Sus scrofa: one gene and its partner. The protein of the gene in region 2 interacts with the protein of the main gene of each other region in a pairwise test. Links are inferred from orthologs where the notes say so. Each region holds a gene or a part of one and is shown on either strand. Other genes may lie near its edges.

Region 1 (7,416 bases), on a different chromosome or scaffold from region 2:
TGGGTGATTGTGGAATCGGGAGGCTCAGGTGCTCATTGACAGCAGGATGGAGACTGACCAGGCGTCTGGATTTCTCAGGCCAGAGCAAGGAGACCAGGGAGACTCGGACAGTGTGTGGACAGGATAGCACATGCTTATTGGGCTGTGGGAGGGGGGCAGCTGCTGTGGGGGAGCCTCTGAGCAGGTGCCTGTGGGCTTTTATTTAGGAACTTGAAGACTTGTTCAACAAGCTGGACCGAGATGGGGACGGCAGAGTGAGTCTGGAGGAATTCCAGCTTGGCCTGTTCAATCACGGGCCCCCTCAACTTCTAGAATCTTCTATTCTTGTCAAACCGAACGGGTCCTGGTCTCATTACCAGGTAAAATCAGAGAGTTAACTCTCAAACCCTGGAGTGAGTACTGTTGCTCTCTGGCTCAGCATTTTGTAGGCCTGGCTCCTCAGCCTGGTCACTACGGCAGGTGCCCAAAAGTTGGGGGGGTGGGGGTGGCGTGTGCACACATCTTGGCGGTGGGAGGTGGACATCGTGGGCTGATCTGGCATTGCTGCTGCCTAACTGCACATCGCTGGCCTCATGAAGGGTCTTAGGGTTCCCCGGCAGCCCCCTGATGCACCCAGGACGGGGTATGCTACATTCCAGCAAGACCACCGCCCCCTCTTCCCCAGTGGTGCAACCAGGCAGTCACTGATGGGTGGTCTGTGCCTTCCCCAATTCCCACATATTATCCTTTGCGATGCCAGCCAGAAGAGAACAGGATTTAGGTGGTTATTTACATTGTGATTTTGTTTGGTGCATCTGGTTTTTCTCAATCCCAGGAGAGTCAGACCCCACCCCACCCCCACCATCACCACAGGGCCTTGCTGCCCTGGGGAGCCTCGTTGGTGATCCTGAGTTTGTGGGTGGCCGTGTGGCGGTGATGACACTGTTCTCTGTTGGGCTGGCATGACCAAGACTCAATCAGGTTTCTGCATCTGAAGCCTGAGGTGGGTGGGGGACAGGGACCAAGAGTGATGAGGGCTGGCGTCAGGCCACCTGGAAGCAGGGACCATGTACACTTGTGCCCAGAGTCAGCACCTCCCAGGTAGATGCTGATGCCTGCCTGGGAGGTGATGACATGGTGGGAGCAGGTGTACCTCACATGTGGGCTGAGATGAAGAGTCTTCTGCTCAGTTGGGAGCAGTGGGCCTGGTGCGGGGGGGCTCTGCTGCAGAGAAGAGGGGGCTCCCCTTGTTCTGGCCCGACAGCAAGTGTGTGTCTGAAGGGTCCAGCCCTTGCTGGGGCAGGAAACACAGCCAGGAGGGGATCCTTGTGGGTTCTTGCAGCACTGCAGACTCAGTGTTCACCCTCTGGGCCCAGGGGTTTTTGCCCTTGTCTTTAAGCTCCTGGCCACTCAGCCACAGTGGCCTATCTTGAATCCACTTCTCGGGCCATCTCGCCTCTTCTTCTGAAGCTTGTCTTGGGTTTCTTTGGACAGATTGGGTTTCCCTCCACCTCTGCGAGGCCACGGGGAGACCACTCCTGGTTTGGGGAAAAATTACCTTGGGGGCATCCCCTGCACAGCTTCACAAACACACCTCAGCACCTTTAGTCCCTGGAGCAGGAAACAGGGCTATGCTCAGGCCTTGGTGTGAATGCGCCAGCCAAGCACAGGTGGTGAGGCTGGGAAGGGGTTGACATGAGGCCTTTGTCCCCACATGCAGGTCTCTGAAGAGGGCGGTGGCCAGACCACGACCTCGTCCCTCGTGTCCGTGTGCTCCGGCCCGCGCCTCTTCTGCAGCGTGGACGATGGTACCGGCTTCGCCTTCCCGGAGCAGATCATCGCCCTGTGGGCGCAGGAGGGGGTTCACAATGGCAGAGAGGTCTTACAGGTTTGGACTGGATCCCGCAGGCTGCCCCAAAGAGGTGCCCTGGCACATGCACAGGGGAGGCTGGACACAGCACCTCGTGGACACAGGCCCTTTGTAGGGAAGGCCAATCATAATCACTGTTTAATTTTCTGATGTTGAAATTTAGATCTTAACCTAAAAACCTAATAAATGGCAGAGAAAACCATAGCCTGAAACAAATCACTTTGAAGGAAGGTTTTGGTGTCTTAGACACTCAGCCCCCGGAGCCCATCTGCTGACCTGGAGGAGGGAAGGGTGTCCCTATGACTCCCTGGGTCTGAGCATTTCCACTTACCCAGGATGAGCTCTGTGGTGACCCAGACCCCGCCTGGGGCACCCGCCCCACCAGCTGAGCTGTGCTCTCCCCAGTGGCCCCCGACCTCCCTCCCCGGGTTGTGTACGAGGAGGCCTGTGTCAGTCACGTCCTTCCCAACCAGAGGCTGAGCCCAGGTCACTGAAACGGGCCCCCAGGAAGGGCAAAGCGAGAGGGGCTCATGGTTTCGAGATGCTGCTCTAATCCCCTGCATTGGAGGTTGGCTGCATCAGGGTCTGACCTGCCTTGAGTCTCTCCCTTGCCCCTGACCCTTCAGGACTCACCCCTGCTGTCAGAGAATATTCCCATCGCTTTAGCAACATAACTTTCCAATTGCTCAGGGTTTGATTCCATTTAATTGAGAGGCAGTGATGTTACTCCCCTGAGCACCCCAGCACCAAGCAGGGACCACCAAGCCTGTGACCTTATGTACCGTACCCCTCAGAGCCTCCCAGGTGTCTCTCCCGATACAGGGTGGCTCCCGGGCGCTGGCAAGTGGTCAGGGTGTCCTGACACAGCAGGTCCATGCCTGCTGGGACTGCCTGCAAAGGCCTTTCCCTTGGGGAGGGAGCCCGCTAGGTGGGCCCTTAGCCTGGATATGCTGGCAGCACACCTGGCTTCTTGGGACCCCTGGGTGCCTGGGGAGCCCCCCACCCTGTGCCTTCTGTGCAGAGCCCTGACGCCCTCAACACAGCACTCAGAGCTCTACCTAAACCCCTTCGGCACCTCTGTGTGTCCAGGATGCGTAGCCATCAGCGTCCGGCCCTGGAAGAGCAGACATGGTTCATGTTTCTGTGCTACCAGCGGGACAGACGTTCCTGTCCTGTTCCTTATTGTGGGAAAACGCATAAAACAAGTCTCTTCTATTCTTTTCCCTTTTCTGCCCCACTTGGAGCGAGGGTCACTCTCTAGGCTGCTCGTCTCTGAGAAATCCTGTTTCCACCAGCAGGACCCTCGCCTAGTCCCACATCTGTCCACATGGTTAAGACATGGATTAGTCAGTGTTCTTTGGGTCCGAAAGAGCAAAAGCTCGACTCAAACTGGCTTGAGGAGAGGAGGACGTTGGGGGCCACCTGTGTGGTCATTCGGGGGGAGGGCCGTTCCGCGTGCTATCAGGACTCTGCTGGCCTCCTGGTGGCCTTGGCCTCAAGCCCCTTATGCGGCCGCCTCCCCATGGCCACGTGGGCTGTACAACAACTGATTTCACAGGGAAGAGGCCCTCTCTAGCCTCTCTGTCAGTCCCCAGTGTCCTCTGCTTAGGACATGCCCCCTATGTATCTGTCATTTTGTCCAAGGAGGAGGATACTATCCAGCCTGAGTCATGCCCACCCCTGAGGCAGGGACAGTGCAAGGGGCCCCCCTGTTGACAGGGGTAGGGCCAGGGCTGTGCCCAAGAGACAGAGACTTTGCAGATTGAAGAAGGTAGGTGCTGGGACCGTGTGGTCTGAGCCTTCCTGTCCTTAGGGAGCCAGGAAGCATCTAGAGACCCACTCATCCTGCCTGGCCAATGGCCTTGCTGTTACAGAGCCTGGACTTCAGTGTGGATGAGAAGGTGAACCTTTTGGAGCTGACCTGGGCCCTTGAGAACGAGCTTCTGACAGTGGACGGTGCCGCCCAGCAGGCAGCCTTGGCCTGTTACCGCCAGGAGCTGAGCTTCTGCCAGTAAGAGTCCCATGTGGGATGCAGGGTGCTGTTGCCAGGCTGGCTCTCTGCCCACCCCTGGCCACCCCAAATGGCGAGTCCTGGATCAGGTGGCAGGGAGACAGCTGGCCCCTGGGAGCTGCTGAGGGCTCCCAATGCCACGTGTGTCTGTGTGTGTCCGTGTGTGTGCTCCCAGCTGTGTCCATTCAGTGGCTGCTGCTTGGGCTTTATGGCCACAGAACTTGAGGGTCACCAGCCAGCCCTCACACTTGGTGAAAAGCTTGGAAAGCCACTCAGCCCCTTTCACAGAGTTCCAAGGGGAAGGGTTTAAACATCTTATTGTTTCTTTTATTGATGTGTAGTTGGTTTGCGATGTTCTATTCGTTTCTGCTGTACAGCAAAGTGATTCGGGTATACAGACTTTCCTTTCCAGATTCTCTTCCGTTGTGGTTGTCACAGGATGTTGACCATGGTCCCCTGTGCTATGCAGAAGGTCCTCGTTGTTTTTCTATCCCTTGTGTGAACTTGAAACTCATCCTGCTGACCTGGGGCTCCCCGCCTGTGGGCACAGCCTCCACTTGGCTGGGAGGTGCTTCCAGGGCTTCCCAGGCTGGTGGGAGGAGGAAGGATGCTTCCAACATGGTCACAAAGCACAGCGTGATGTTGGGCCAAGAACATTTTAATTGGGCTTGGCTCTAGTCGAGCTGACATTTCAGGCCCTCCGTCTACTCAGCAGATTGGCATAAAGGTTGTTTTTGTGTTTTTATTGATGTTCTGAGGCTACAGAAAAGGTTGGCAGGAATCACAGTCTCCATCCTCAAGACTGTATTTCATTAGGTCTGACAGATGAGCCTTCTGACATCAGGCAGCTCTGCACACAGGACCAGAGAAGAAAGAAAGACTGTGCTTTGGGAGGGGAGGGAAAAAAAAAAGCTCAATGCTTCTTTAGTGGGAGAAATAGCTACCAGAATAGCCGGTGCAGGGGGTTCCTGCTATAGCGCAGTGGGTTAAGAATCTGACTGCAGTGGCCTGGGTTGCTACAGCAGCACAGGTTTGATCCCTGGCCCAGCACTGTGGGTTAAGGATCTGGTGTTGCTGCAACTGAGGCATAGGTCACAGCTGGGGCTCAGATTCAGTCCCTGGCCCAGGAACTTCCAAAAAAAAGAATAGCTAGTGCAGGAGGTGGTTTGCACAGAGCCTCTGGGAGGGCCTTGGGTGACCAAATAGACAGGGCCATGCATAGGAATCTCCTTCCCTGGGTGACCCCTTGCATACACACTTGAATGCTCAGCTACAGGTGGCAGGGCTGAGACCAGGTGGGATAACGGCTAGCCTGCCTTCTCCCCTTCCTGCGTCCAGTCCCAGGTTAGGTGCTGGGGATTCTCAGGGTTGGGAGCCCTGCTGCAGGCAAGAGGGGGCACAGATAAATTCTTGCCTGTCCTGAGGCTGTGCAGAGGCATGGTGTGCTGCATGCTCTAAGCTGCTTCATAAACCTGCTAGAAACCGCTTTGCGAGGTAGTTGGCCTCTCCCTCTGCATGTGCCTCTGTAGAAGAGGCACAGAAACTGTAGAATCCGCTCTGGACGGAGGTTGGTTAGAGCCCAGCACTGGCTGCTGCTCAGCACCTGTCAGGCCAGCTGTATTTATTCCTGTAGACAGGTTCATGGGCCCAGAGCAGGGTCCCCTCTGACCCACCTCCATCCTGTAGGGGAAAGGTGGAGCAGCTGGCCAGGGAGCGAGACAAGGCCAGGCAGGACCTGGAGAAGGCTGAGCAGAGGAACCTGGAGTTTGTGAAGGAGATGGATGACTGCCACTGCACCTTGGAGCAGCTCACGGAGGAGAAGATCAGGTGGGTCCCAGTGGAGGGCCTCCAGTCTCACCAGAGCCAGTAGCAGTCTAGAGGGAGCGCCTGGCTGATGTCCTTCCTTGAGGGAAGAGGGTGCGTTTAGGAAGAGAGGCCTCTGGGTGTATGCCTGTGATGAGCGTCTGCAGGGAAAGTGTCCTCTACTGGCCTTGCTCTGCTCATCTCTCAGGTCTGAGTCCTCTGCATGTGACTGTGATCAGTGAGACGGGTGGACCGGGGAACAGCTTTGCAGCCTGTCCTCAGCGGCGAGCTGAGCAGACCTCTGTGAGTTGGTCGGGCTTGTGATGGACAGACTAGAGGAAAGGAGTTCTGATCCTTTTTTCAGGGACACAAAACCACCTCTGGTTAATTGGCCAAAACACTTGAGAACGTCCAGCCCCTGTAGAAGGGAGATCTCTGTTTCCGGACAGTTGGAGGGGGGCAGGTGTTTGCTCAGTAAGGAGACTCACAGCAGTTTGTGGGTGTCGCTGCCTGACCTGTGCCCTCCCCTGTGACTGAGGGTGCTATCACACACACACACACACACACACACACACACAGTGCACATGTGTGGGCTCTGTGCCGAGCTGTCCTGTCACTGCTGGGAGTTTTAGTGGCCACAGGGGCTGGCCAGTTTTGTCCACCCCAACAGTGTGTGGGACCAAGGAGCCCCCCTCCAGCTGAGCCATGAGCACCCAGCTGTGGCCCTGGGGCTCGGCCTCTGGGAAGGAGCTTCCAGCCTGTGAGACTGCTCTCCTGGAGCTCCGGCCACAGGCCAGGCACCGCCTGACCATGACCCCAGATAGGCCATTTCATTCCCATTTTTCAGCCAAGGACACTGATGCTTCGAATAGTGTGGTAACTGCTTACCATCCAGGGCGGCTTGTTAGTGGGAAGGGAAATGAACCTGCAAGTTCATTTGGGTTCAAGGAGACACGCTGGGGGGCAGGGAGCTTGTCAGTTTCTAGGGGTCAGGTCACCTGGAGTCTGAGCCCAGGTCCTAGGTCAGCAGCTCCCTCCTCCACAACCTGTGACCCTGTTCCAGAGGCAGGGACTCTCCTGGGGCCGCTGTCTTCCCACGCATCGCAGTCCTGGGGTGGGGGGTGGCCTCACCATCCATGTCCCAAAGGCCTGGGTGACCTTTTCCTTCTAGTGACCCTAGGAGGTAAAACGCAACAGCTGAGAACCTGGTCTGGCTACTTTCCCTGAAAGTTGCCATGATCAGTTTGTGTGCGAGAGTGTTTGTGTGTGTGTACACATGTGCACGCTTGCCCACTCCCCCTCCCCCATACCCATGATCACTCTCACTCACTCCCACACTCACACCCCTCCATCCCCTCCAGCCTAGGAGTGGATTTAAGGAAGCCCCCACCCCACGGCTCCTGCAGCTCGCACGTCTGTCAGGCAGGGACCAGCGAGTCCAAGATGCGGTGGTCCCCTGCTGGGGCAGGAGAGACCCAGGAGGGGAAGCCCGGGGTCCGACCTGTGTGTGCCTTACAGGCGCCTGGAGCAGGGCTACCGAGGGAGGCTAAGCCTCCTGAGGACCGAGGCAGAGGTGGAGCGTGAGCTGTTCTGGGAGCAGGCCCGCCGGCAGAGGGCTGCCTTGGAGGGGGACCTGCAGCACCTTCGAGCAGAAGAAACCAGCCTCCGAGAGAAGTTGACCCTGGCCCTGAAGGTAGGGGGCTGATGGGGGGGGGGTGGAGGAGTGCCTCCCCTGGGCCTCCTGCCCAGAAAG
Region 2 (8,083 bases):
TCCTTATAACAGCCCTGTGACATGGCTATTGGTATCTTGACCTCACAGCTGAGAAATCTGAGGCACCAATACCTTTTAAAACTTGTCCAAGAGCAAAGCAGACAAAGTAGCAGGACTGAAATTCAAATCCAGATCTGACATCAGAGCCCAGTACTGGACACGAGAACAGCTGATGAATAAAATAAATAGGAGTTATGTTCCTATTACTTGTTTCGGGAGGAGTGAAACAGAACACCTACCAAACTGTAAAGTATATATAAATCAGTAAGTACAAACTAACATATCACTGTGCCCTACTACCTTAGAAAGAATACATCAGGAGAGACCTTCTGAAGAAAGCAAATTTTAAAGATGGTCGGGAGATGCATCAAGGCAGGAAGAAAAGCCTGTGTGAGAGCGCAAAGACAGGGAGAATAGTAGGACCACTTTTGCAAAGTCTGGCGGATGAGGATTGTCAGGGGCCCGGTCAAAGGCTTTAAACCAGCAGTTCGTGCATCACGAGCTAATTTCTGCTGGAGGGTATGCTCTTCAAGGACAAGGCATGTCTCAATGAAACTGTAAACTCTTTCGGTGTTAGCTGCAGTGTTTGAAAATGCAGTGCGAGGGATTAATGTGGAACATTTGTAATGTTGGTATTTGTATGATGAATGGCTAAGTCAGGATAAGATTTTATTCTCATATGCTAATTCCCAGGGAGGGATACTTCACCATCTTTGAGGGCTAGACATTCTGACAGTGTGAAACAGTAAACATATTTTGATTGAGGAACAAGAATTTACTATGGGTAGAGCACAGTCTGGCTGCCATTAAGGATGGTATAAAAGAAGAGAGATACGCTTTTTTTGTTGTTGTTTCGTTTTACTTTATTTTTAGGGCCGCACGCACAGCATATGGAAGTTTGAACATGGAAGTTCCACATCTGGGACCTACACCACAACTCATGGCCATGCCAGATACTTAACCCACTGAGGCCAGGGATGGAACCCACATCCTCATGGATACCAGTCGGGTTTGTTACCACTGGGCCACAACGGGAACTCCCGAGATATGGTCTTAACATAAGTGCTCTTTACCAGTAGTTGGGGAGCCAGAACACCCAAGAGTAACCTTGGGAACACCCGAGTAGGTGCAAAATAACAGTAATAGTGTGAAATTAAATAAGTTCTTTTGTGCAGTTCAACCTAAGTAGGCCATTTAAAGGTGTTTATGGTAAACATTAAAACCTAAATACTAACAGCTGCCTGTGTTATTACCAGCCCAGGATACACCCAAGGAGAGTGCTAAATAAGGGTCTGGAACTCTAATCCTTCTGAGTCCTCTGCTTAGCACAACAATCAGATGTTTACCTTCTGCTGCTTTGTTCTTTAGTTCAGCTCCAGGGGGAAATCTCCATCTTAGCTAGCCTCAGGTGAAACGGGCTCCAGGATCCTAACTTAATGACTCTTGGATTTTTTTTTTTTTTTTTTCCTCCCAGTCTCTGGGCAAAGCTTTACTCCACACAAGGCTTTTCTCCCAGCGAGGTTAAATCCTCAACGCTTGCTGTTCACTTCTCAGCCTTTTCTTACCGCTCTTCTGCCAACCTTACATCTTCCACCAACTTCTCCTTTCTAGGCAGCTAACATCAATGCCTTTCTGAGCTCCAGCTTTACTAAAAATATTCCTTCCTCTTCCTCCAACTCCTGACTCAAGCGTCTGGATTTCGAGAGGTCACTTGGGCTAATGGGGTTCAATGCTTTTCCAACTCTGGTACCGCGCACGCGCGCACACACACACACACACACTCATCCCGAGGGCCACCCAAGGCTCTCAAACCCATACAGGATGAGGGGACGAAGTGGGTGTGCTCACCACAGAGCTAAACTGGTAATTCTTTGGAGCAACAGTTTCTGGAGAATGGTTGTGTCTCCTTTCGCGAGTGAACGGATCAACATACTTGCGGTTCGCTAAAGGCAAGGACAATGTCTCCTCTACCAGACAAGAAACTTCTTCATGAAGGACGCTACCTTCTTTCTGTCCTTTCACAAGCCCCCATTCCCAGCACTGTGAGACACCGAATGGCTCTTAAAATAGTTTCTTGTGCAAAATAGCCCTTCCCAATTTTGAGTTTATGTGATAAAGGGAAACGTCCTTTAGCCAATTCGGCGACTAAGGGGTTAAACCTCAGCAACCTGATGGATTCTGGGGCTTTCTTTCCTCGACTTCAGAAATTAAAACCAAAGGGAAGGGAAATTTTGCCCATTGTAAAGATGAGAACTGTTAACTTCAACTGTCAGGCTTCTGCCCCAAACAGGAATGGCTACCCACGCCTACAGAGGATGCCATTCCCCTAACTAAAAATGGCGGGCCCCAGTTTCCACTGTCGCTGCCACTTTCTGCCCAATTCCAAAATGGCTCCCGCTAGCCTCACCGGAGGGGGAAACCTCCCAGAATCCTCTCTGGCCCTAACGTCAGGTGACGCAAGCCTCAGCCGGAAGTGGAGGAAAAAGCGCCTCAGCCCGCGGCGCCTGCGCAGAAAGGTCTAGACGCTGTGAAGCAGGAGGCACTTGGGATCGTCCGCAGGATTGGGACTGCTACAGAGGCCGCCACGGAGCCCGCCGGAGCCACCGTTCCCACTGCTGCTGCCGCCGCTGCCCGAATCGGAACCGTCGGGCCGCAGCCGCCGGCAATGCCGCGAAGGAAGGTGAGAGGAACGGGACAGGAGGGATGGCGGGTTTCTAAAGGGCAGTCGATTGAGAAGAGTGACGCAGTTGGCCACGCCTCACAGTGGTTGGGTTCCAACTTCCCGCTTCCCTGAACCTAGCTCAGCAACCCTCGCTTCTGTCCATACCCAACAGAAAAATGTGGGCCCGACTGTGGCCTCGGCCTATGCTTGCACCTATTCCCGCCCTCTGCTTGCCTGGCTCGGAGGCGTTCTTCTCGGCAATTGGTCGCTGAAACGTCTAGAAGCATGTTGATTGGCTGGCGACACCGCCCATTTGGGCCCAACGGTCACCTCCCCGCGTGTGGGGGCGGTGTCTAGGCCCGGCTCTACCGCTCTCCGACTGGATGTAGAGAACGATCCCTCTTCTCTTGATTGGCGGGGCTTGGCAGTCTGTCCTGTGGGGGCGCGGTTTAGCGGGACCGCGATTGGGTGGCACGAGTCCCCTCCCATCCGTATGGTGATGCTCATAGGAGGAGAGGCGGGGTTTGGGGAGTATCCTTCCTTTCCCCGCGGAGGACACAACAAAGCAGAGGACTGGGTGGTAGAGAAGCAGCGCCCACTCCCGAGGGATCCCTTCCAGGCCTGTTGCACCTAAGCTGCGGTTTTCCCTTATGTGCTTAGTTGGACAGCGCCTAGAAAATGAAGTTCGTAAATCGGAAACTTCCTAGAATTAAATGGGACTTGACGATGTCATCTAGGGACACCCCCATCCCTTTTCTCAGCTAAGCAGAGGCTTAAGGGAGTGCCCCAAGCCACTCAATTAGGCAATGACAGAGCCTGGACTACAGGACAAATCTAATTCAGTTCAACAAACGTTTATTGACTCTTCGCTATGTGCTGGTTGCCGAGGACTCGAAAATTAATTAGACATGATCACTGGCTTAAGGAATCAGAGTCTGAGAGGAAAACAGACATTTAAATAACTGTAGAAGGGTTTAGTAAATTCTCTACTTGGCAGTAATAAAGATTAATGGGAGGGAAGTGGAGCAATTTAATCTGCTCTGGAGTAAGATGGGAAGTAGTTGGTGAAAGCAGTAGAGGAGAGCTGAGCTCCAGGGTCATGCCAGGAAGGGATGGGCAGAGATGATTAGGGATTCAAATAGCTGGGTAATTGGATTGGATGACCTTTAAGACTCCCCTTTCATCTTAATTTTTGGTGATTCTCTGTGGATCCTCCACTCATTTCCTGGCAGATTATCCTTGAAATATTTGGAACGCTGGGTGGTGGTCTTGCTCATTTCTGCAGAAATCTTTCTCTTCACAGAGGCTTTCAAATATTTACATTTTTTAATGTCTCCAAAATGACCTACATTGATAGGTGGTATTTATGTTAAGGCTCACCAAATAGTACTGGTGTCTTGGAATAGGCCCACAGTCTCCTTTTTGCAATCCCCAAGTACAAAGAGTTCTTGAAAATGTGTGTTTTTTAGTAACTTATTTCTTGGCAGAACCTGTTCTAAACTGTTCTGAGGCTATTTACAGTTTTTGTGTCTCATTTAGTGTGATTGTACATATATTTTGCTGCAGAAAGGGTGTTATTTGCAGGATGTATGCAGACTATTCCTTTCTAAAAAATTATGAATTCTAAACACATCTGATCCTAAGGGGGCTTTTTGTTTGTTTTTGCTTCTTGTATGTTTTTTTTAAGCAAATGCATCTCTCTTTATGGTTTAAAATTTTTTTTGCTTTTTTTTTTAGGGGTGCATCTGTGGCATACAGAGGTTCCCAGGCTAGGCATCAAATCAGAGCTACACCTGCTGGCCTACGCCACAGCCACAGCAACGCAGGTTCTGAGCCACATCTGAGAGCTACACCACAACTCACAGCAATGCCAGATCCTTAACCTGCAACCTCATGGTTCCTAGTCGGATTCGTTTCCTCTGCACCACAGTGGGAACTCCTCTTTATGGTTTAATAAAGGGTATGGTGTTAGCATAGGAGGGTACCCCAACCCTTCTGGCTTTGCTCTAGGATTCCCTGGGAAGGAAAGAAAGTTGGAATTTAATACAGAAAGCTGATGATCAATAGGTGATAATAAGTTGAGGGAGAAAATGTAACATACTTTGAGCACTTAAATTGTGCCAATTTGGTTACTGCTGTATGAGCATGCTGCAAAATGGGAGAAAAACTTCTGTTTTTTCAAACAAGTGTTTAATGCTTAATTGATAAAAGTTATCTTTATGGTTAATTGTGTCTCTGGAGGCTGATAATTGACAAATAATATTAACTGTAAAGGTGATTTTAAAAAACCTTCTGTTTTTGCATACCCATGTGTCTTCGTTTGCAAACCACTCCCTCCCCCCTTTTTAAAAGCACTTTTGGGGTACATGTGGAGAAACTTCAAAGGGAGATGACATAAGTAAGAAGAATTACTATTTTTCTCCCTAAGTTTGAGATCAGAGTTATAGACCATGATATTTTGAATCAGTGTGTGGTTTTTAATTCATTTTATTTTTTTATTTTTTGGTTTTTTTTTTTTTTTGCTTTTAAGGGCCATACCTGCAGCATATGGAGGTTCCCAGGCTAGGGGTCTAATCAGAGCTACAGCTGCCAGCCTGCACCACAGCCACAGCAATGCAGGATCCGAGCCACATCTGCAACCTACACCACAGCACATGGCAACACCGGATCTTTAACGCACTGAGCGAGGCCAGGGATCAAACCTACAACCTCATGGTTCCTAGTCGGATTCGTTTCCGCTGAGCCACGGTGGGAATTCCAGTGTGTGGTTTTTAAAAATGTAATAGCTGTTTATGTAGACTTTGAGCAAAAGCTACTCCAGAATTAAGTGAGGCTGTCACTAACATTTTTCTCTTTACCCTGGACTTTGTATAAGTGCATTGTTATGTCAGCCAGACTATTTTGAGTTCTGTATTTTCCAGTTTCCAAATCAATTTGTTTCAGAACTAATGATGATACAGTAAGAATTAATTCTCTTTATTTATTTAATAAAGATGCACTATTCGTAGGTTGTTCCATTTAAATGCTCTAAATGAAGGGAAATTGGCTGTGGAGTCCTTTCTTAGATTTGAGCTTGGTGTTTTCAGCATCACAGTTTGTTTTATTTCCAGTGTTATTTCACACCCACGGAGTTAATGTTTCTGTGCTAATGTCTGGATCTATGGTGTTACAGAGGAATGCAGGCAGTAGTTCAGATGGAACCGAAGATTCCGATTTTTCTACAGATCTCGAGCACACAGACAGTTCAGAGAGTGATGGCACTTCCCGGCGATCTGCCCGAGTCACCCGCTCCTCAGCCCGGCTAAGCCAGAGTTCCCAAGGTAAAAGGCCGCTTCCTTCTTCCTGATCACACCTCACAGCTCACTGGTCATCATGTTACTGTGCTAGTTCATGTGGAAACTGGTCCCTTGACGTGATGCTGATGACAGAATCTGGTACAGTGCAGAGCAAATGACTGCTAAAGTGTCAGGTCCTTAAGGATGGTTCTGTTGGGGGTCCTGTCCAATTGTAGACCCGGAAGAACTATCTCTGGTATGGTACATTTGTGACACCTGTATGTCTTGAGTCTTTTAATTTTTTATGGATTACAGTTTCCCTATAAAATGAGAATGGTATCTTTTCACTTTTTGTTAGAATGGCCTAGGAACTTGATAAAGTGGTGTCTCGAATGTGCTATTGGAGGAGGCCTAAGACCTTTAAAACCATGTTTAATTTTGTACTATAGTCAGGTGCACAATCAATACAGATGACCCAACTATCAACTATAATAGTACCCAGAATTTTGCTATGGTAGTAAAGAATAGAGAATCTCGGTGTTGGAAGGTTCTCTAGTACAGTTAGCCATCTGGTCTTAGATTTGGAGGGTACCCACTGTCTTGGCTCTGCTCTGAGATTCGCTGGCAAAGAAAGAAAGTTGTGAGTAATACAGAAAGCTGATGGTCAATAGGTGATGATAAATTAAGCGGGAGAAGTATACTCCGAGCACTTAAAAGTGCTGATTTTTTTTTTGCTGCTATATGAGTGTGTTGCAGACTGAGGGAGAAACATCTGTTTTTTCAAGCAAGAAAGTGGGAACATTCTCTCTGTGGTTATTCCTAACTTTATCTTTGAATTTAATATTTCAGCTGAAGTATAGATAATTGTCTCTTGATTTCTCAACTTCTACGTTTGTATTTTGGGGCATAATGGGAATATTGATAAACGGTTGCTATAATTCAGGTATTATGCAACATAGTGGGATACTGTGATAGAAAAATCGGAGTTCCTGCCCTCAAAGAGCTCACAGTGTAATGTGGGATGTCAACTCTTATGGCAACGCATTGTGCTAAGGGCTGCGAGAGAGGTTTGCATAGAGTGCTGTGGAAGCCTAGAGATGGAAATCTTTAAGGATCTAGGAGGAATTTACAAGTTGAAAGACAAGAAAGTGTTATTATAGGCAGAGGGTACAGAACATGCAAAGGAATGGGCATAAATGCTCTTAGTATAAATGGCCATGCCAAAGTTCCTGTTGTGGCTTAGTGGAATGAACCTGACTAGTATCCATGAAGACAAGGGTTTGATCCCTGGCCCCGCTCAGTGGGTTAAGGATCTGGCATTGCTGTGACCTGCGGTGTAGGTCGAAGACATGGCTTGGATCTGGCGTTGCTGTGGCTGTGGTGTAGGCTGCCAGCTGCAGCTTGGATTTGACCCCTGGATGTGAACTTCCAAATGCCACCGGGTGTGGCCCTTAAAAAAAAAAAAAAAAAAAAAAAGCCATGCCCTGGTCACCTGAAAGTTATAAATATTCAGAACAGATAGGAATTACATGAGCTCTGAGTCTTTTTCTAATGACTGTACTTCATGAACACTGAGTGCCACAATGGGAGGGCACTGTTCTCTATGTGGTCTCTGTAAGGGGGCCCCCTCTAAAGCAAAAAGTAGACTGCATTGTAAATGGAACCCCCTGGAGGCATGCAAACTGAAAACCTAGCTGTGTGCTAGCTCTTACATGGGAATTTGAGAATTTCAGGGGTTTTTTTGTTTTTGTTTTTTGTCTTTTTAGGGTCACACCCATGGCATATGGAGGTTCCCAGGATAGGGGTCTAATCAGAGCTATAGCCTCTGGCCTACACCACAGCCACAGCAGCCACAGCAACGCCAGATCCGAGCCACATCTACAACCTACACCACAGCTCATGGCAACGCTGGATCCTTAACCCACTGACGGAGGCCAGGGATCAAACCCGCAACCTCATGGTCCCTAGTCAGATTCGTTTCTGCTGTGCCATGATGGGAACTCTGAGAATTTCAGTTTTCTTCATTAAAGAATTAGGATTTTTTGTTTACATAACATATTAGGGTTTTTTTTTTTTTTTTTTTTGGCTTTTTGCTTTTTGCTTTTTAAGGCCATACCCGCAGCATATGGAGGTTCCCAGGCTAGGG

The links. The genes of interacting proteins can lie anywhere in the genome.
Region 1: the proteins of KAT7 (region 2) and NINL interact in a two-hybrid assay, tested with the Homo sapiens proteins (2 studies listed by BioGRID and IntAct). The two-hybrid records come from large-scale screens. The link is inferred for Sus scrofa from reciprocal best matches to the Homo sapiens genes KAT7 and NINL.

The regions. Positions count from the first base shown.
Region 1 is NC_010459.5:31,112,406-31,119,821, reverse strand, and holds part of NINL (ninein-like protein), read left to right. Parts: intron 1-206; coding exon 207-359; intron 360-1,699; coding exon 1,700-1,867; intron 1,868-3,723; coding exon 3,724-3,860; intron 3,861-5,546; coding exon 5,547-5,687; intron 5,688-7,181; coding exon 7,182-7,356; intron 7,357-7,416. UniProt on the Homo sapiens protein: Involved in the microtubule organization in interphase cells. Overexpression induces the fragmentation of the Golgi, and causes lysosomes to disperse toward the cell periphery; it also interferes with mitotic spindle assembly.
Region 2 is NC_010454.4:25,968,454-25,976,536, forward strand, and holds the start of KAT7 (histone acetyltransferase KAT7), read left to right. Parts: upstream 1-2,703; 5' UTR 2,704-3,312; coding exon 3,313-3,345; intron 3,346-5,834; coding exon 5,835-5,982; intron 5,983-8,083. UniProt on the Homo sapiens protein: Catalytic subunit of histone acetyltransferase HBO1 complexes, which specifically mediate acetylation of histone H3 at 'Lys-14' (H3K14ac), thereby regulating various processes, such as gene transcription, protein ubiquitination, immune regulation, stem cell pluripotent and self-renewal maintenance and embryonic development.